Cricetulus griseus: one gene and its partners. Each later gene encodes a partner of the first gene's protein in a complex. Links are inferred from orthologs where the notes say so. Each region holds a gene or a part of one and is shown in the gene's direction. Other genes may lie near its edges.

Region 1 (4,007 bases):
AGAACTCCAAGAGCACACTGCTGCACGCATCACACCATCCCCAGCCACCTGCACCTGTTCAGGCACACTTAGATAGCATTTGCAAAAAATAAACTAGCTTGAGCTTGAGGACGGGGCAGGGAGGACAGCTTAATGGGTAAAGCTCTCATCGTGCAAGCACAAGGACCTGAATTCAAATCCCACAACTCAAGCGAAACTGGGAACAGCAGCCCATGTCTGTGTCCCAGTGTTCCTACAGTAAGATGAAAGGCAGAGACAGGAGAATGCTGGGACATCCACAGGCTAGCTAGCATTGTGCAAACAGCAGAGAACAACAAAGACACCCTATCTCAAACAAGGTGTAAGATGAGGCCAAACCCCCAAGGCTGTCCTCCGACCTCCATACACATGTCATTAAATTCACCCACCCCCATGTACATGGATGTGCACAACATAAATAAATTTTTTAAATAAACAAATAAGCCAAGCATGGTGGCACACACCTTTAATTTCAGCAGAGGCAGGTGGCCCTCTGTAAATCCAGGTTCAGCCTGGTCTATATAGCAAGTTCTGGACCAGCCAGGGCTACATAGAGAGACCCCCCCTCTCTAAGTAAATAAATAAATAAGGGCTAGCTTGGTGGAACAGAACCAGCTTCTAAGCTATTTCCATAAATTGCAAATGCTTGGATTTCCTGGTCTATAGAAAGGTAAATAAGGTTGATGCAAAATTAAAGAAGCCATTATGTGTATGTACCTGGTCCAAGGCAAGCCTTATTAGAAGCACTACCCATGATTCTGGAGAGTTGAGTCTAAGACCATAAAATCTTCATCCTCCCCTCAGCCCACTGTGGTTGGCAAGCTGCGAAGACAAACTCTTGTGCGGAGCACACTCAGTAGTGCCCAGTTACTCCTCAGGTGGAAGCAGTTCTAGCAGGTGCACAGAATGAACAGCCCCAAGTTTCCATTTGCCCCACCCCGGGGGCAGGACCGCAGAAGCGCCCGCCCTTTAACTTTATGAAGGAAGTTGTTCAGTAACTCATTCGAAGTAGGAGAACGACCTGGGAAGCGGAATTCGGGACCTGGACCTCCGTGCCTGGACCAATATAGATCAATCCTTTGCAGGCCCTGTCTTCCTCTAAGCCCAAACCCCGAGCCGAGCGGTAGACGTCCTTCCCGCTCTTTCTGTGCACATAACGCCGCCGCCGCCGGGAAGCCGCTAGCTCCTGATGTCTTCTGACAAGTTATGGTGAGTGGGGAGTGAGCCTTGGATCCTCAGCTCCACAAGGACACTCCGGGACACACTCAGGGGGCGCTTTTGCTTTGCCGGTCCGGGTGGGCCGCGGGGTGTCGGGGGGGGCGGGGTGCTGACACACTTGCCCAGCGGGCAGCCGCGGAGCTCGGGTGACAGAGGATGCGCTGACGTGGAGATGGGCCCCCTTCCGGACGAGAACCTTCTCTCAGGCCCTTTGATGCCTCGGCGGCCTCTCTCGTGTCCCGTGAAGAACTGAAGAACCCGAAGTTTGTAGGCAAAGGCGGTTTCGGTGTAGTATTCCGTGCACATCACAAAAAATGGGGCCATGATGTTGCAGTCAAGATCGTGAACTGGTGAGTGATCCCAGCTGTAGGCAGGATCTGGTCAAGGAGCCTGAAGGGACAAGTAGGGGTGGGGGGTGGGGGGGGAGGTCTTCCAGGGTCCCACCCAACTGTGGCTCCCTTTCGGAGTGTAGGGAGGCGATATCCAGGGAGGTGAAAGCTATGGCGAATCTTCGTAACCAGCACGTGCTGCTCCTGCTGGGGGTCACCGAGAACCTCGAGTGGAACTACGTGTCTGGGCCGGCTCTGGTGACAGGATTCATGGAGAACGGCTCCGTCGCCAGGCTGCTGCAGCCCTGGTGCCCTCGGCCCTGGCCTCTCCTCTGTCGCCTGCTGCAAGAAGTGGTGCTGGGGATGTGTTACCTGCACAGCTTGAACCCAGTGCTCCTGCACCGGGACCTCAAGCCCTCCAATGTCCTGCTGGACTCAGAGCTCCACGCCAAGGTCAGCCCATCTACACCCTAGTGCAAGCTTGGGACCATGCTAAATACCCTCGGTCTGTCCCTCTGAATACCAGACTACGCAGGTCAACCAGGAATTTTATCTATGGCCATACCAGGTGACAGAGCCCTCCTTACCCACCTGGGTCAGTTCCACAGGCCTATTCCACAAAGCCCCCCACCCCCACCCCATGGACCCAGGCTGACTTATCCCAGAAACTCTGACGTACTTAGACCCAGACCCATCAGCAACTTAGATCTCCTCCCTTAGGCCTCATTGACTCTGCCTTTCCCTCTGGCCCTCAATACCACCTTCAAAAAGCTGAGGCTGCATCTTCTGGAGGAGACAGAGGGAAGATTCTGGAGAAGGACTGGCCCCCTTCATCTAATGCCTCCCTCTTCCTTTCCTTTACAGCTAGCAGATTTTGGACTGTCCACATTTCAGGGAGGGTCACAGTCAGGGTCAGGGTCCAGGAATACAGGGGGTACCCTAGCTTACTTGGCCCCAGAGCTATTGGTTAATGTCAACCGGAAGGCTTCCCCAGCCAGTGACGTCTACAGGTAAGCTACCCACTCCAAAACATCCCAAATTATTTCTACGCTTCTTTGAGCCCTTCTAAAGGATGTGATACGGGAAAGTGATCTTGCCGTGGGCCAGCTAAGCCTCCATTTTGTGTCTGTGCAGCTTTGGGATCCTCATGTGGGCAGTGCTGGCTGGAAGAGAAGCCGAGTGTAAGACTCTAGATGGACTCTGATACTCTTTCACCCTTATCTACTCAGCTGCCCCCTTCCCACCTCACCCCTTCCTTAGATGGCACTCCCTGCTCCTGTCCATGATATGTCTCCTCATACCACCAACCCCTTCTGTTATCACCGCCCCCCCCACTCCAGTGGTAGACCAGACATCACTAGTTCGTGACGCAATCTGTGAAAGGCACAATCGACCAGCATTGTCAGAACTGCCTCCACACAGCCCTGAGACTCCTGGCTTGGAAGTACTGAAGGAGTTAATGATACATTGCTGGAGTCCTGAGCCCAAGGACAGGCCATCCTTCCAGGGTGAGTTGGCTGTTTCTCTAGCAGCTAGAATAGGCTTGAATAGGCAGGAAGCTTCACCCAAGGAAAGCTCTGCTCTCCTACAACTCACTTGGCTGTCTTTCAGATTGCCGACCAAAAACCAATGATACCTACATCCTGGTACAGGACAAGGTAGATGCTGCTGTCTCCGAGGTAAGTTTTCAAAACTGCCTTTCCGCCCAGGAGCTATTCAGCAATGGCACATGTGGCTCCCTTGACCGTCCAATGTGTCTTCACTGCCCTTGTTTTTTAATTCTTGGCCATCATTCTTGCCCACCCCAACCTACCTCTGAGTCTCCCTCCAGGTAACAGATTAGAAATCAAGAGGATACTCCCCTGGGGCTTACTCTGGCTCCCCTAACTCCCATCTGTGCAGGTAAAGCAGTATCTGTCTCGGCGGCGCAGAAACAGCGACACTAAGTTGTCTGTCCTAGAGCCAGGCCCTAGCGGTGCAGAAATGGATAGCCCTGGGGAAAGCACAGTTTCTGAAATGCTGGACCATCTGCAGCTGGAGGGGTCCCCCAGGCCGGTTCCTGAAAAGGGCACACACCTTACTGAGAGGGGAAGAACCCAGGAAGAACCAACTGGGCATGCCACAGCAGCAGTGACATCTTCAGATACAGTGGCTGGAACTCCCCAGATGCCACATACTATACCCTTCAGAGGCCCAACACCCGGCCCAAACTCTGCCGAGACCCCAGGTCCTAACCCCCAAAGGAATGAGGTGAGACACTGGCAAGACCAAGGAAAACTTAGGGTTGAGGGGTGCACAGTGATGGAACTAGCCTCTTGAATAGAAAGCCTGAGAACTCTGTGCTGTTTGCAGGGATATGAAAGATATGGCACCCAATGGTCCTCCAGGGCCCCAGGGCCAAATCCAGCAGCAGGTACCTGTTCTTCACCCTCTATTGCTCCC
Region 2 (4,257 bases), on another chromosome or scaffold:
CTCATGAAACTAAAATGCTTCCGTATAGTAAAGGAAATGTTAACTGGGCAAAGAAACAGGCATACAGAATGGGAGAAAAAAATCTTTACACACTGTGTATCTGACAAAGCATTGGCATCTAGACTATACAAAGAACTAAAATAGTAAGCAATATGAATGGAAAAAACCCAGTTAACAAATGAGCTAATGGAATGAACAGGTGGTTCTCAAAAGATGAAATACAGCTTGACTAAGGGGGCAAAAGCACTTGCCATCAAGCCAGACAACCTTAGTTCCATCCCTAGAACACAAACCATGGAAGAGGACAGACTTCCAAAAGTTGTCTCCTGACTTCCACAAGTGGCAAGGATGCTCCTCACTCTCAAATAAACAAACAAATGGTTAAAAAAAATTACAAATAGCTAAAATCCGTGAAGAAATGCTCCACTTTACTAGCCATCAGAGAAGTGTGAATTAAAGTACATTGAGATTCCACTATATCCCTATTAGAATAGCAGTCATTAAGATAACAAATAACAACAAATGCTCCAAAGAAATTAGATAAAAGGGACCCTTCTACCATTCTGATGGGACTGTAAGCTGGGCTGGCCTCTGGAAAATCAACATTGAGGTTGTTCCAAAAATTAACAATAGATCTACCATGCAACCCAGCTGCAGGTATGCACAGGACTAAGTCAACATATCATGGAGACATTTGCATATCCATAGTTATTCACAAGAGCTAAATTATGGAACCAACCCGACAATTATAAGCAGAGGAATGGATTAGGAAAATGTGGCATTTTACACACACACACACACACACACACACACACACACACACACACACACCAATCACACAAACAGAAATTTTCAGCCACAAAGAAAAGAGTATTTAATTACTTATTTAGATATTCAAAATCTTGCATAAAAAAATAAAATCCACCTGGGCAGTGACAGTACACGCCTTTAGTCCCAGTACTTGGGAGGCAGAGGCAGGTGGATCCCTGTGTTTGAGGCCAGCTGGGTCTACAGATCGAGTTCTAGGACAGCCACGCTACACAGAGAAACCCTGTCTCCAAAAACCAAAACCAACCAACCAACAAAAAAAAAAAAAAAAAAAAAAAAAAAAAAAAAAAAAAAAAAAGAAAAAGAAAGAAAGAAAGAAAGAAAGAAAAGACAATTATTTGCAGGAAAATGGACAAAAACTGAGATAATCATATTAAGTAAACTGAGCCAATCTCAGAAAGACAAATGTCATTTGCTTTTATCATTTGTGGTTCCTAGATTTTATATAGTTACATAAACTGGTGAGTACGGCATGAACGTAGAAGTGAAACTATCTTGAGAGTGGGGGACAAAGGAACTAACAGGAGATCCTCAGCATACCCGAGGTCAGCCCTCTTCCTCCTGCCTTCTGTACCGCCTGTGCCAGGAGAGCAGGAAGTAGACAAGGTCTAGCCTCCAGGTCTGGGTTTCCCTCTGCCTGCCACACACTCCAGAGAAGGGGCTTGGGAGCCAAGTGCCCTTGGTGAAGACCTCGCTCGGGTTTGTTTCTGATAAGGTCAGTTGAACTTTTAAGGGGGAAGGATCATGATTCTAGAACTTTCTAGGTTTCCGTGGGATCTGGAGTCCACATGGCTGTAGAGGGATTCAGGGTTTGAATACTGGAAGGGAAGCCAGGAGCTTTATCTATGTGGGTAGCTGCCCGCTGCCCTCTGTGGGCCTTCTGCCACCCCACCCCACCCGACCCCATAGACGTGCTTCTGGTGTTTCTGGAACACAGCAAGTACAGCCGTCTATTGGAAGGCACCTCCTTGAAGAGAAACCAAAATTTTAAAATTTCAACTGACTTGGCCGCTCCATTTCCTGATCCACTTACCTGCCCCCACATTTTCTGATATACACATGCAAACCCCAAACACAAACACTATCTTAGCGATCTGAATATAAATACACACACACCCACACACCCACACACACACACACACTGCAGTCCACCGAACTACCTCTCCAGCCTATCATTTCTCTTAAAAAAGAAACAGGACCGTCCGGAGAACGAAACAGTAAGGAAGGAGAGATAAAAACTCAGAAATCTGTACTGGCAGCGAGGTTAGACGTCTTACACTTAACGTTTAATTAGAAAATGATGGCGTTGGCTGTATATTTTATTGAGGTTTGACTGCCTTTGCTGGTATGTATGGAACACCTGCCTACAGAGGCTTCGTGGTAGGATCTTGGAGAGGCAGAGCTTGGTTAGAGCCCCACTTCCCGGAGCTCCCTTGCCTGGTGGCAGAGGTGTCACTAACAGTTACACTTGGCCTGAGAGAGCCTTTGGATGACTGTAAACTTTTATCCCTGGAAAGTCCTAGCAAGTTGCATTTTATGCTCCCACCCGGCATATTGGAGGTAGTTCTCTAAGTGGAAATAGTTCTCTAAGTCACGGGAGGAGCGGGCTGTGCCTATTATTCAAGGAAGGATAGTGATTAGACAGTCAACTGAGGCACGTGGCAGAGCCCGAGTGAGCTTCCGCTCTAAGGTAGACTACTCCTTGCTCCTCAATGGTGGGCCAGCCACATTCAAGGAACAGCTTTTTCCCGTTTTTCTTTTTTTCACTTTTAATATTTCTGAAAATTTTGATTATTTGAAAATATGATTATTTGTTTTTCTGTTGCATCTAATAGTAAATAGAATAAAATAGTATATCTTTTTATGAGTGTGTGTGTGTGTGTGTGTGTGTGTGTGTGTGTGTGTGTGTTTTCTTCATGTGCTTTCTATCTGGGGTTTTTGCTGGACTGGAACTCACCAAGCAGCCAGGATAGGTTGGCTGGTATTACAAAAATTCTATGTTTTTATGGTGTGTGCTGTTGAAGCCCTTGAGTGACACATGGGAATCTGAGCCCATGTCAGACTAGGTGATCTAAGTTGTGACTTAAGGCAGTAGTAAAATGAAGTCTTCTTGTAAAATGAATTAAGAGAAATGTTGTATGCTGATATGGATGCTTCTGAACACTTACAAGTCATAACAGACATTTACTTCCATTGAAAGATTATAGGTCATACATATATAAAATATTAAATGCTCTTGTATATTATAGTGTGCAAGCATATTTAATGAGATTATTTGACGGCAATAATAGCACATATACATGATATGACCAACTTCTCAAATTTATTTATACTTACACACTTAGGCAGAAATGTGAATAAATTTCAGCACAAAATGCCAAATGTAAACAGAGAATTATTTCAAAGTGTTAGGATTTAAAAGATTTTTATGCTTTTCTATACTTTCTCTGTGAGGTGTTTCCAGGAACAGAAGAACATAGCAGCAAGCATTATTTAAAAAACACTAACAATGGTAATTTCCTGTGAGTTCAGTCTAGGTCCCATAAAAAAAAAAAAAAAAAAAAAAAAAAAAAAAAAAAAAAAAAAAAAAAAAAAAAAAACGAGACCACAGGTAGTCTCTGTAGTCTCTGTTCTTACAGAGCAGGCAGTCTAGCAGCAGTTTTTTTTTTTTTTTTTTTATGTCTCTTAAATTCCACGAAACTGATTGCTTTTGGGATGCTATGACTAGAAAAACATGTGTGACCTAAACAAAAACAGCCAAATAAGACTGAATGTTGTGGGCCATGGAGTGTCTTAGGAAGCTAAGAAAAGTGCCTGTTAACAGTTAGGACTTGTTTGTTACATTATTGCCAAGGTGATGAAATGAGTGAGTTGTGATGTGCACAGGGCCAGAGGCCAGTCACATTATGTCAAAGCTCACTGTCATAGTGGCCTCAGATAAAAATGGGTGGGTGCTTTTGTTTTGTTTTTCTGTAAGAAAATGCTGTTAAAAAGACATGAACGTGGGAAGGAAACTTGTGAGGAAGAGGGAGGGTGACAAGGATAAACATATGTACACCTATGAAATGGTCAAAGAACATGCTTAACCAATTAAAACAATTACAAGCTTTAAAATAAGAGAAAATATTGTTGAATATGTGACAACTGAAAAGGCTTATTAATGTAATTTCTTGATCTTGTAATATTACTTACAGGAAAATATCCTAAGGACATAGGAGTACATTCAGAAATTTGAACTTTCAAACCATCCTAAATTTAATAAGGCTGAGTCTGGAGAGATGGCTCAGTGGTTAAGAGCACTGACTGGTCTTCCAGAGAACCCAGGTTCAATTTCCAGCACCCACATGGCAGCCCATAACTGTCTGTAACTTCAAGATCTGACACCCTCACACAGACATACATGCAGAGAAAACACCAATGCACATAAAA
Region 3 (4,112 bases), on another chromosome or scaffold:
CAGCTCAGGGCTCCTTCAGCAAGCAGGCAAACATAATGGATCTGAATTCAAATCCCTGGAACCTGTGTTAAAAAAAAAAAAAAAAAAAAAAAAAAAACCCTGGCCATGGTGACACTCATGATGCCAAGACCAGAGATGCAAAGACAGGCAGGTTCTTGAGGCTCACTAACCAGAATACTTAGCCTACTACACAAACGAAAGGTAAGTGAGTCCTTTCCTGTTTTAAAAAAAAAAAAAAAAAAAAAAAAAAAAAAAAAAAAAAAAGAGGTGTGTACTTAGAGGGAGATACTGGAGGTAGTCTTCTGGCCTTCACATATGCGCACTTTTGCACACACACCCTCAAGCCCCTCCAAATAAACAACAAAAAAGCTCAACCTAGGTACATGTGTTTGTTCATCAAATTTATGTTCACTTGGGTACATGCCAGTGTGTGAAACTGCTAAGTCACACAGTAACCGTAAAGGTAACATTCTGTATTCCTTCCATTTGTGAATGTTGGGCATTTTATGTTTACTTTGAGTCAAAGGTGAGTTTCCCATAATGCCCTATGACATTGAACATCTTTTTAATGTTATCTGCATGTTTAGGTTTCTGTTAAAATGGTTGTGAATTTTCTTAAGATGGTGGTTGTGTGCATGCATTAGTAAGACTTCTTTATCATGTCTTTTGTAATCCTCTCTCTTTCCACTAATTATCTTTTGAGAATAAGTGATCATTGCATTATCGTGCAACTTAATGACACCAGTAATAACACTTTTTGTTTTTTTTGGCCTTGAGATTTCACAATTACCATTTCAGAGGGCTACAAAATAATCACATTTCGTCCTCCACAGCCCGCCGTGGCAGATGAAGGCTCATTTGCCAGCTCTCAATCGCCACTGTCGCACTCGGTGTTTTCCAGCTGGCCAGGGTGACTCAGCCCTGACAGAGCAGCTAGGAGCACCTCTTTTCAAGGGCTCTCTCAGAACGAGCCGAAAAGCAAAGCAGAACTGGCATCGTTTCCGCGGGCAGGCCTCCGGGATCGACGTGGGAACCGTCGTGATCGGCGGAACTCACTGCCCAGCGGGCCCTGCCGCACTCACCGCCCCGGGGCGTGAGCAGAGGCGGAGACAGAGGCGGACGCAGCCTAGCGCCGCCCCACCCAGCGAAGCTCCGGTGTAGGAGGACGAGCGGACCCGGAGAGGCGTCGCGAGCGCGGGTGTCGGTGCCGCTCACCTCGCGGGGGTCGCAGGGCCGCGCGGGCGCTCAGAGAAGCGCGGTGTCCGGTGAGCCTGGGCGCGGCTGGGCGCCACTCCTGCACCGAGCTCGGTCCCTGCGTCCTCCGCACGGCCCAGGAGCCGTCCTGGCTGGGCAGCCACGGCGAGGCGCAGCTCCTGTCGCCCCTGCCCTCGGGTCGGTGTGCTCACCTGGGCCGGAGTGCCTGGCCGCGGAAAAGGAAAGTAACTCTGAGGTAAGGCAGCGCGGAGGCCGCGGCAGGGTCCGCCGCTCATTTCCTCCGCAGCTGGCTTCCCGGAAGGGGCGGCGACCGCGGGATTCCAGCGCGTGGGCCGGAGGGCGGGCCTCGTTTTCCGGAAGCGGGTGATGGGCGGGGCCGCCAGCATACCCGGAAGTCGAAAGGCGCGGGAGTTGCTGGGTGTCATCTAGCGGGAGGTTGAACTCTTTTTGAGGTGGTTTTAGCTCAAGTCGCGACAGAAAGTGGACATCTGCGCCGTGACCACGGTTGTGGAGTGACAGTGCGACAGGTGTTTCTCTTTCACTATTCTTTTGGTAGGGGTGATGGGTTATGGAAGCGTTAGTGCTCTAACAAGGTTGCCTAAATGTTTTGGACCTGCCAACCACGTTGTACTTCGGCCGCAGGGGGTTGCAGAGCTATGGGTAGCTTTCATCATTATCTCAGAGGTGAGCTAGCAAATGAGGAGCGATCCACGTCCTCAGTGAGAGAACAGTGTCAAACGTCCAAGGCTCCTCTGGTCCTCAGTGGCGTTTGCTTTTGTGGATTGCTGCAGCCCCCTCTGGGTTCTGAAGAAGATAAGCCACATCCTCTCCACCGGTGTTGGACAGAGCCTCCTGGGGTTGGATGGTTCGGTCCAGGGTGGCTCATTCTTTGCCTCTTGTAGGTCATTTTGATTTCCTTGCTCATTTATTTGGGGCAGAGTGAGGCTGTTTTAATCAGGAAATTCCACAAAAGTCCTTCAATCTTTAGAAAGCTATTAATTCTTTCTTAGCTCATGAAAACTCAATGGCAGTGTGAACTTTGAGATGTAATGATTTAGTCGTGTAATTTTGTACCCACTGGGAAGACACCACTAAGGCTTTGCTGTATATAAAAAATGAAGACTAGTTTTGTTTAAAATGAAACTTATTTTGTTTTATTACTGAAAAGTAGCAGTAACAGTTACCAACTTTAATTTTCATTTTTCTCTTTCTTTCCTGTTTTGAGCCTTGTACATAATGTTAAGTTTTCATGACTGTTGCAAACTGGGAATGGTTCTACTACTTATTAGTTCATAACATGTTAATATCACCAGTAGAATCTTGGAATTGAATCAAAAAGTATAGTTTCCCACACTTTGGTTGGATATTATTCTGGCATATGTGTCTTACTGTGAAGACATGGATAATATTAATTTTGTGTGTTTTGTTTTTCAAGACAGGGGTTTCTCTGTGTAGCCCTCGCTATCCTGGTTCTCCCTCTGTAAACCAGGTTGGCCTCAAACTTAGAACTCTGAGATCCATCCACCTGCCTCTGTCTCTCAGTCCTGGGATTAAAGGTGTGCACCACCACGCCAGCTGAGACAGGGTTTCTTTATGTAATTCTTATTATTCTAAAGCTAACTATGTAGAAGACCAGACTGGCTTTGAATTCCCAGAAATCTGCCTGCCTCTGCCTCCTTAGTGCTGGTATTAAAGGCATGTATCACTGTGCCTGGCAACAATTCGGTCTTTGCATCTGAGGTTTGATCTACATCTGGGGTTTTCAAATTTTTATTTGACTTTCTAGAAAGCAGCATGTATTAGAGAACTGAGAGTGGAAGTCTGAGAAGGGTAAGGTTTGAATCCATTCATTTCAGGTGAATCACTTAACCTCAACTTGTAGTTTCTTTATTTGTAAGGTGAAAATAGTCCTAATAAGATTAGTTCACGGGTCACAGTGTGCTAATGTATTTGATCATGCTTCATTGAATTTTATTCTAACTTTGTCTTTTGTTGATGGTTTGATTCCTTGTTCATTGCCCTGCTTGTGGACGAAGCACAGACTGTTTTAATTAAAGAATCCTGGAGATGGCTCCTGATCGTGTCACATACCTGAGTAAAGTCAGAATTCTGTTAGGGAAGACATGGGAAACAATACTCAATTGATATTCTCTCATTCCCTGATTCTCTGTCCTCCTGCTCTTATTATATATGATTGTCATTGCAAATTTAAGAGAAAATTAATTGGGTTTAAAGGGAGTCCAGCCATTGGGGGGGGGTTTGTATACACACACACACACACACACACACACACACACACACACACACACATTTCCTGAGGTAAGGTCTCACTGTGTAGTCCTAACTGACCTTGAATTCACTAAGTAAGCTTGAACTCAAATAGTGTATATTTACTATTTATATAATTTATAAATAGTACTATATTTATAATATAGTAAATAAATAAATACTATATATTTTCAAATGTAATACTATTTAATATATATATATATATATATATATATATATCCTATTTCTGCATTAATAATCATTTATCCCAAAACACTAGCAAATCCCATTGAAAAGGACATGGTATTAGTTGAAATTAGTTATGGCTTTCTATAACAGGTCAACATACCTTAGTTAATTTTTAAAGCACTGATTATCTGGCTTTCTACCTTACATTCAGTGTTTTTGCAGTCCTTGGGTCTTCCTCAGTACACTGCCCACATGGCTTTCTCAAAATACACTGCTTATAAGTTGACTGGGGCTCATCAGCACAGCACTTGACTGGCATGTGTGTGGCCCTGGGTTCTGTCTCCAGCCTGCCAGAAAACAGCAGCATAAACTTGAATCATTCAAGGGGAAAAAAATAAAAGCACGAAAGAAATAATTGAATATCCACCAAAGGAGGATTT
Region 4 (4,089 bases), on another chromosome or scaffold:
CTGGGTCCTCTCACACCAACCGTGATAATTCTCTCACAGACACATCCACAGCCAATCAGACCTGGGCAACCCTGCAACCGAGACTCCCTCAGATGGCCCTGTACTCAGCTGCCTGCTGAAACTGCCTAGGATACCCGTCCTTTGCTCCTTCCTGCCAGAAGGAGAGCATGTGTGACAGGTGGAACTCCAGCAACCCTTGAAAAACTTAAGCACAGAGGCTACAAATGGCAGAGCAACAGTTTAAAAAGAAGCCGGGTGGCTGCACCAAATCTGGAGTACCTGGAGTCTTGTGTCATGCACAAGAGGGAAAAGGTCCATCTGCCCAGTCCACAGCTGTGGAGGCTTGGGATAATCCCAGCATTGAAAATTGGCTTGAGGTTTTTCTTAAACAAAGACAAAGAATAAGAAATAATCCAAAAGTTTAGAAGGATTTTGGCCAGGCAATGGTGGAGCACGCCTTTAATCCCAGCCCTCGGGAGGCAGAGGCAGGCGGATCTCGGTGAGTTCCAGGCCAACCTGGTCTACAGAGCGAGTTCCAGGATAGGCAGGGCTACACAGTGAAACCTTGTCTGGGGGGACGAGGTGGGGGGTTGTCCAAGAGGTATTGTGATACAGTCCTGCCACTCAAGAAATGATAATGGAGGGGTCAAGAATCTGAATTCAGGCTTGGCTACAGAGTGGGACCCTGTCTCAAAAATTAAAAACAATAAAGAATAGGGAATGCTGAGATGTTCACAGCAGAACCCCAGTGTCAGGTTCTCATGGCATGTCCTGAAGCCCAGCCCTCTAGGGCCAGAGCCACCTTGGCCAAGGACCAAGCAAGACCCCCAGGCAAGAGCCGGTTGATGAGAGGGCACCACCTAGTGGTTGGTCCCCAAATAGCCCCTCTAGGGAGCCTGATGTCCCTCAACTGGCTCAGCTGAGTGTTTAAAGGGTGACCTTATTTATTTGGGGGGCTCAACGGGCTGTACAATTTTCTGTTTCCCTTAGCTGCATCTGCAGGCTCTGGGTTTCCCCCTGGAAGTCATAAAAATCATTTGGAAATTTTAAAGTTTCCCCATGCACAGGCCGGTGGAACTGGCTGTGTGGAACTGGCCTGGCCGTGGCCTGTCCAGTGACAAGGCTGACTGGGGACCTGCAGCTTGCTTTGCAGACATTTTGCAGGTACATATATACCTCCTTCTGGTCTCCATTTCCTGCTCCTGTCATGCCCTATGCACTAATGCTAACCGGTGCCAAGGACCTCCCTCCTGCAGCTGGGACCCAGATTCAGGGTTATTGTAGGCTGAGTTGTGGGCACGAGGCCATCTCTGTGAGCTCAGTCCCTTAGTCTGTAATTGGAACAGAGTGATGTCCGAACTGTTCGAGGACCACTGACCTCTTTGAGAATGTATGAAAGTGAGGGGCTCCTTTTCTAGAAGGTATGTGGATGACAGTACTAGTCCTGCCCTGTCAGCAAGTAGGGAATGCGCAGTAGGTACCTTTTTCCTAGTGGGAGTCCAGATAGGCAGTTCCCACCCCAGAGGCCAAGACTCCTCTCATCCCCGTCATTTATTCAGCTCCAACTTGCTCACCCCACCCTGATTTCAACGTTTCTTTCGAGAACCACCAAGTTTCATTTTCTCTTTCTCCAGAAAGCTGGGTGGATGGAGCCAGATGGGTGCTCGTTTCCGGGGTGGAAACATATGGTGTCTGCAGCTCCAAGAAGCCGCTCTTCTTCTGTGGACACGGCCTCAGGCCTGGCCACAGTTCGGGAATCTGCCACCCCCCGCCCCAAAGGTGCCCTGAGGTTGCCATGAGCATGGCAGAAGCTGCTGTTGATCCGAGCACAGGAGGTAAGCCGGGCGAGCCTCTTCCTTCCCCCACGCAGCGTGGACCCTGGGCTGGTTTCTAAGGCTCCTTCTAATTCTTTGCTTGGCCCAGACAGCAGCAATATTCTGAGGACATCAGAGCTCAGGAAGCAGGCACCACAAGAAGCTAGCTTGCTTCGGGGACCCTGTGCGTCACACTTTGACCCTTGCTTAGGCTGGTTCCTAACAGCCCTCAGGCACAAGTGGTAGCTCTCACCTCACAGACAGGTCACTGAGGCCTTCGATGGGCTTCAGGCTCTGAACTGTGAGAGGGGACTTTGTTTTGATAAGAAGATTTGGCTCTGATTCTATGTTCATGCTCTTCTCTCCGCTACAGGGCAGTGCGAGGCTGTGGGTGAAAGACTGTATGAGGCGAGGCTATCGGGGCCGTGCAGCTGTGGACAGGATTTACTTTACTGCTTTTCTTCATTGTTTCGAAACTTTTTTTAAAGATATGCTTATTTACTGTGTATACAGTGTTTTGCCTGAATGCACGGCTGTGCTCTGGTCAAAGAAGCACCAGGTCTCATTCTAGGTGATTGTGAGCCGCTCCGTGGTTCCCGGGAGCCACACTCAGCACCTCTGGAAGGGCAGCCACTGCTCTTAACTCCTGAGCCATCTCTGCAGCCCCCAAAGTCACCCTTTTCCATTCTCGCACCATGCTAGGGCATGTTGCTCAAAGGCAGAGGAGCCAGGGCAGTGGCAGGTTCAGGGCCAGGTGGAGAAGACCAGAAACTAACCCTCACCTGGTCCCTGTGGCTTCCTAATACTCTCCTTGCCAGCCAGTCACCACCATCCATTCCTTCATGCTCACCCTTTGGAGAAAGCTCTGCCTGTGTGCCCTTAGGAGTCAGTGGGAGAAGGGAGGGCAGGAGAGCCCACTGCAGGACATACACGCCCCAGCAGAGAAAAAGCAAGCAGAGTGGAAGCCCAGCCCTATAATCCCAGCAGGGGAGGGGGTGGCTGAGGCAGGAGGATTGCTGTGAGTTCCAGGCCAGCCTGAGATATATGGTGAGACCTTGTCTCAAGAGGAAAAACAAAGGAAGGTAGAAGCAGGCAGATGGAAGGAACCAGAAGGAGCACGAGGTGGAACTTGGGTGGCTCTTGGGGTCAGGCGCAGAGGAGGCTGGGCAGGGAGCAGAGGTCCATCGGATCTCTAGGTAGAGGGTGCTGGAGGGAACCATTCTGGAGTTGGTGGTCACCTGGGAGACTAGTAATGCTACCAGGAAGATGTCATTGAGGCTGGGGTAAGGGAGAAAAAAGTAAGTGGGAGGTATCTGAGCTGCGTTTTCAGGGCTCCTGATCCACCTGGAATGGGAAGGGAGACCTAGGAATGCCCATGGCATCCATGGGAGATGGAGAGAAAGGGACTCTCCATACAGGCTGGAAGAGGCACCAGGCAGCGTGGAGGGGCTTCCGGGCCAGGCTTGGCTCCATCATCTGAGAGCTGAGGGCTCCTACCTGTCTGGGGTTCCACACCAATACACAGGACAGCATGTACACTCCTCTGCCGTATGAGTGCATCCCACCATTCAGCCATGGGGCCAGGGTCCACTCAGTCTGACACTCTTGCCTCTCAGTGATTCCTCGATGCTGTCGGCTCTGGGTTCTCGTATCTTTCTTACCTCTGGAGATGGGTGCTAGCCTCCAATGGGGGCTGGGCTTGACTCTTCTCTCTGTTCCTCCCCCAAGACAATCTGGAGCAAACGATCCTACAGATACTGAGTGGAGCCGGCGGCTCTGTGAAGCTCCCCAAGCTGGTAAAGGAGTGCCAAGTGCCCAAGAAAACACTCAACCAAGTCCTTTACCGCCTAAAGAAGGAGGGAAAAGTTCACTCACCAGCCCCTGCCACATGGTGTTTAGGCAGGGATGCTCCTGGAGATGAGGCTCCTGCAATCCCTGAGGACCCCACTGCCCAGCCCACCCTCGGTAATCTGTCATTTGGGGGCACAGCAGACTCCCCTCAAGGGCCATCTTGACAATGGGCAAGTCCAGGTTCAGGCTTGGCTTTCAAATCTGAGCTCTGCCATCCTCTCTTTATCTTTTGATTTCTTTTCACCAATAGGGCTTGTACGTGGTAGGTGTGAGGTAGACACTAGCAATAGTAAAGGCACAATCCAGGCAATTGTCACAATGACAGTAGGGATTCACTCGGAGCCACTGAGCAGAGAGGGCTCACAGCTCCATTGCTGATGCTGTACCCAAGGCCACCTAGCCTTCAGCAACTCCTGCAGTTGGA
Region 5 (4,058 bases), on another chromosome or scaffold:
ACACGGCCAGGGCTAGGGAAGTTTCTAAGTGAAAGGAACCAATCACACTTTCCACTTTCCATCTCTCAAGACCTGATTTTCATGTCCTACCACTAGCAGTGAAAAGCTTTGTGAGGGAGAGCTTTAAACTATTAGGGCATATACTAATCCCTGAGTTGAGAACTGAGGCTGCTGTGGAGAGGGAATCCAGTAGGTAAGCCTTGTCAGAATTTTTCTAGAAAAAGCTTTAGGATCCTTTTGCTAATAGCAAATTAAGAGGAAATGGAAGTTGTAGGTTTCTGGGGTTGGAAAGGAGCATCAGTATTGACTATGCTCCAGAAAAGAATAAAGCTGCAGGAAGCCTGGTTCTAAACCTTCGCTTGACTGAGGAATAGAAGCTTTTTTTTTTTATTATTATTATTATTTCACCACAACTGAGCCTTTAACAAAAGAACATGCAGTTGGCTGTGGCAGGAATTAGAATATATTGTTCAGAGGGTTGACCCAGACTGCGCCTAAAAAGGAACTCTGATTTTCTGGGAGCCTTGGTCTGTAGGTGTCTTACTGACATGAATTTAATTTATATTTGGAAGAGGGCCTTTGATTTCTAGCTGAAGGAGAAAGAAACATAGGGACTGGAGAGCTATTCCTAGATAAAAGATAGTAACAATGGTGTGGCAGAATGCCTATGATGTAACATTAGCTTGAAAGTGGCAGAGCACCAAACTCTATTATAAGTAACCTTACCATTTAAGAAAAGCCAAGTATAGCCCAGAGGTGGTGGCCCACGCCTTTAATCCCAGCACTTGGGAGGCAGAGGCAGGTGGATGTCTGCAAGTCTGTTGCCAGCCTGGTCTACATATAGTAAGTTCCAGGACAGACTCCAAAGCTACACAGAGAAGCCCTGTCTTGAAAAACCAAAACAAACAAACAAACAAACAAACAACAAAAACAAAACAAAAAAGAAATGCTAAACAGATAACATATTCCATAATCTCAGATGTTCAAGTGGCATGGCATTTATTATTTTTTAAAAATTATGTATGCTTTTTAATTTCTATTTCTTTTAGTTTATTAAGTATGAGAAACAATTTTTAAGTTTCTATAATTTAAATTGTATCTTATTTTTCCTTTTCATAGTAAATTCCTAGAATTTAGAAAGCGATGATTCATATGATAACTATGTTGTTTGAATATACAACTGGCGGTTCGGAAGGTTCTGGTAGTGTTAGGAGGTGGAACTTTCTGAAGAAACCTTATTGGATGAAGTGTACCACTGGGACAGGCTGTCTCACTCTTCCGCTATTTCCTGTATGAGCAAGAACTGAAATTGGCCAGATTCATGCCCTACGTGGCGACCAACCATAATGCCTTCCCTGTCGGCTGCTACGCCTTCCCTGTGGTGTTGAAATCCACGCTCCTGGGACTGTGAGTAAAAATAAACCCACTCCTTCCCTGTGTTGCTTTTGGCTGTCACATTTTATTAGAATACAAAGGAAAACAGTTCGCTGATAACCTTTGTAGACTTATTGAAAATGTGCTAAGTACTTCTAAGTATTTATCAGGACATTATGTTGTTCAACTTTTCTACTTTTTTGCTTTTTTTGGCTATGTGAAACTTTAGTTACTGAAGGAAGTGTTTTGTAATTTCCAACTATCAGAGTAGGTTTGTCATTTGTTCGTGGAGAACTGTCAAGTTTTGCTTAGAGCTGTTAATTTTAACAATGAGGTGCATACGTGCTTAGAATTTCTATGTTGCCTTGGTGACTTTAATGTTTAATCATTGTATAGCAGCTCTGTCCTTAATGACACTATTTGTCTTATTATCTTCTCTGACGAATATTAATATAACTGACCTAACTGTTTTTTTTTTTTTGTGCTTAGTGTCTGACTCATACATATGCTCACATTCTTTGCTTTCCTGTTATTCAGTATTATAATACCCTCAGTGTGTCTTTTGTAAACACCATAATGCCTACAGTGGGTTTTAATCCACCTAGCATTCTTTTTAAAGCTGGGAGTCTAATTTCTGTGAATTCTGTCCTTTGAAATGCTTGGATTTTTGTGTGACCGTCTTTCCTATGGTATTTCCCATCCATGTTTGCTTTCTTCTTTTTAAAAAATATGCTCAAGAGTATTTACGCAGTGATGTGTATTATGCTGGTCATGTTTTCATAAGTCCCATGTTATAAATTTTGTGGGGACAAGTCATTTTTCATTAGTCAAGAATAATGCCTTTTTCATAGGTGTGGACTTTGGGAGCCCAATCCACATAGAGGAATTCTCCCTGAGCCAAGACCCACAGGGGTGGGCCTAGGCCCTATCCCAAAGGATATGGAACGCCTCACCCTCCTGGGGAGGAGAAAGGATATGAGATAGGTAGGGTTTTGGTTGGGGGGATGGTAGGGGAGGAGGGGAGGGAGAGGAAACTGGGATTGACATGTAAAACAATCTTGTTTCTAATTAAAAAAAAGAATAATGCCTTTTTGAGATAGCTTTTGGAGAAATCATGTAAGATCAAGTTTACTACTTCAGTGAAGTGAACTTGCATACAGTTAGCTAAAGGGAACAATCCAGTTCCGTTAGTACTGTGTACCTTCCCCTGAATCTAGAAACACTGCTTCTATTCATCTCTGTAATTCATAGGTTGCTTCAATGTTACCTTCTCAAAGAGACGTAGTGTGACCACCTAATCTGAGTCTTACCACATACCCCCAGCCCACATCCTTATTGCATACTATCTACTATGTAAATTTACACTTTTCAGAATAATAATGAAGAAATCTTACCTGATTGGTGACTGATTTCCTCAAAGACTTGCAAGGTGCCTGACTGGACAGAATGAGCTGATGTGTGAACAACTGCTTGATTTACTAGTTTATTTCATAAGTGCTGATTTTTTTTTTTGTATTTCTTTAGAAAGGAATTTTAGATGGTTTTGCACCGTAGGGGTTGGCTGTTTAGTCACAGACAAGTTTGCAAGGAAAGTAGCGCAGAGTGAAGGTCCTTAGGGATACTCCCATGAAGCAACTGTATGTTCTGGGCGTGGGGGAAGCGTGGCCCATCCTGCTGCAGTGGGTCTCAAAGGAGGGCATATTGGCATAGGCATGGCACTGTGTGGCTTATAGAGCTCTATCTGCCATGCTGCTTATTAAATCCTCACATTTATCTCCTATTATCTACATTTAACTGATGGGGAACCAACCCCATCAGATAAATACAAATCAGGCAGTGTCAGAGCACATTACTCTCCTGGCTTGGTGCCACATTTTTTTTTTTTTTTTTTTTTTTTTACTGGAGTGCTTTTCTAAATTAAATCTGGACACCCACCTGTTAGCTGTGGGTTTTAGAGATTCTTAAGAAGGTGATTAAGAAGAGACTCTTAAGCAACGGCAAGCAGTGACCTGAAGTGGAGCAGCTCATCGTGAGGACAGGCTTTAGGCATCTGCCGTCCATCTAGAATCTAACGGGAAGGAATGGACATTTGCTGCAAGACTTTCCTAAGAAGGAGACAAATTCTGACATTTAAGTCTCTTGCAGTTTCTTGCTCTCCCCATAGCATGATAAATATAAACTTCAAACTATAATAATAGCATATGTTGAGCACACCAGGTGTCAGGGATGCTTCATGGATTGCCTGCTTATGAAATCAGTCACATCTCACGTGGAGTCTATGCAGTAGGGACTGTCAGGCAGGGCTTCATCAAAGAACTAGAAAACGCCTTTGATTCCCATCTTAGAGCTAGAAAAGGAAAGACATGGAATTCTAACCCAAGTATTCTCTGTACCAGGAAAGTAGAGACCAATAGAAATATAAACAAGTACATACATTTAACTTTTCTTTTTTTTTCTATTAGTTCAAATTAAGAACAAGCTTGTTTCACATGTCAATCCCTTCTTCTTCTCCCCCCCCCCAACATCCCAGCTGCCCCTAGCCATCCCCCCATCTCTCCCCAGGCAGGGTAAGGCCCTCAAAAGGGCTCCCCAACATTTAACTTTTCTAGTAGCTACATTAAAAACAAAAACAAATAACATCAACCCAATATGTTTGATTAACATCAAAAGTACCCAAAATGTGT

What was found. The genes of interacting proteins can lie anywhere in the genome.
Region 2: Ripk3 (region 1) and Casp8 share a complex: the UniProt entries of both Homo sapiens proteins name them as parts of the AIM2 PANoptosome complex. The link is inferred for Cricetulus griseus from reciprocal best matches to the Homo sapiens genes RIPK3 and CASP8.
Region 3: Ripk3 (region 1) and Ripk1 share a complex: the UniProt entries of both Homo sapiens proteins name them as parts of the AIM2 PANoptosome complex. The link is inferred for Cricetulus griseus from reciprocal best matches to the Homo sapiens genes RIPK3 and RIPK1.
Region 4: Ripk3 (region 1) and Zbp1 share a complex: the UniProt entries of both Homo sapiens proteins name them as parts of the AIM2 PANoptosome complex. The link is inferred for Cricetulus griseus from reciprocal best matches to the Homo sapiens genes RIPK3 and ZBP1.
Region 5: Ripk3 (region 1) and interferon-inducible protein AIM2 share a complex: the UniProt entries of both Homo sapiens proteins name them as parts of the AIM2 PANoptosome complex. The link is inferred for Cricetulus griseus from reciprocal best matches to the Homo sapiens genes RIPK3 and AIM2.

The regions. Positions count from the first base shown.
Region 1 is NW_023276807.1:210,982,377-210,986,383, reverse strand, and holds the start of Ripk3 (receptor-interacting serine/threonine-protein kinase 3), read left to right. Parts: upstream 1-1,207; coding exon 1,208-1,227; intron 1,228-1,442; coding exon 1,443-1,586; intron 1,587-1,708; coding exon 1,709-2,018; intron 2,019-2,429; coding exon 2,430-2,575; intron 2,576-2,699; coding exon 2,700-2,746; intron 2,747-2,905; coding exon 2,906-3,073; intron 3,074-3,176; coding exon 3,177-3,244; intron 3,245-3,467; coding exon 3,468-3,815; intron 3,816-3,917; coding exon 3,918-3,978; intron 3,979-4,007. UniProt on the Homo sapiens protein: Serine/threonine-protein kinase that activates necroptosis and apoptosis, two parallel forms of cell death. Necroptosis, a programmed cell death process in response to death-inducing TNF-alpha family members, is triggered by RIPK3 following activation by ZBP1.
Region 2 is NC_048595.1:413,109,832-413,114,088, forward strand, and holds the start of Casp8 (caspase-8), read left to right. Parts: upstream 1-1,457; 5' UTR 1,458-1,543; intron 1,544-4,257. UniProt on the Homo sapiens protein: Thiol protease that plays a key role in programmed cell death by acting as a molecular switch for apoptosis, necroptosis and pyroptosis, and is required to prevent tissue damage during embryonic development and adulthood.
Region 3 is NC_048596.1:253,842,802-253,846,913, forward strand, and holds the start of Ripk1 (receptor-interacting serine/threonine-protein kinase 1), read left to right. Parts: upstream 1-1,312; 5' UTR 1,313-1,450; intron 1,451-1,587; exon of another isoform or gene 1,588-1,742; intron 1,743-4,112. UniProt on the Homo sapiens protein: Serine-threonine kinase which is a key regulator of TNF-mediated apoptosis, necroptosis and inflammatory pathways.
Region 4 is NC_048599.1:6,098,758-6,102,846, forward strand, and holds the start of Zbp1 (Z-DNA-binding protein 1), read left to right. Parts: upstream 1-1,289; 5' UTR 1,290-1,421; intron 1,422-1,634; 5' UTR 1,635-1,795; coding exon 1,796-1,835; intron 1,836-3,542; coding exon 3,543-3,779; intron 3,780-4,089.
Region 5 is NC_048598.1:19,572,058-19,576,115, reverse strand, and holds the start of interferon-inducible protein AIM2, read left to right. Parts: upstream 1-1,258; 5' UTR 1,259-1,407; intron 1,408-2,339; exon of another isoform or gene 2,340-2,358; intron 2,359-4,058. UniProt on the Homo sapiens protein: Sensor component of the AIM2 inflammasome, which mediates inflammasome activation in response to the presence of double-stranded DNA (dsDNA) in the cytosol, leading to subsequent pyroptosis.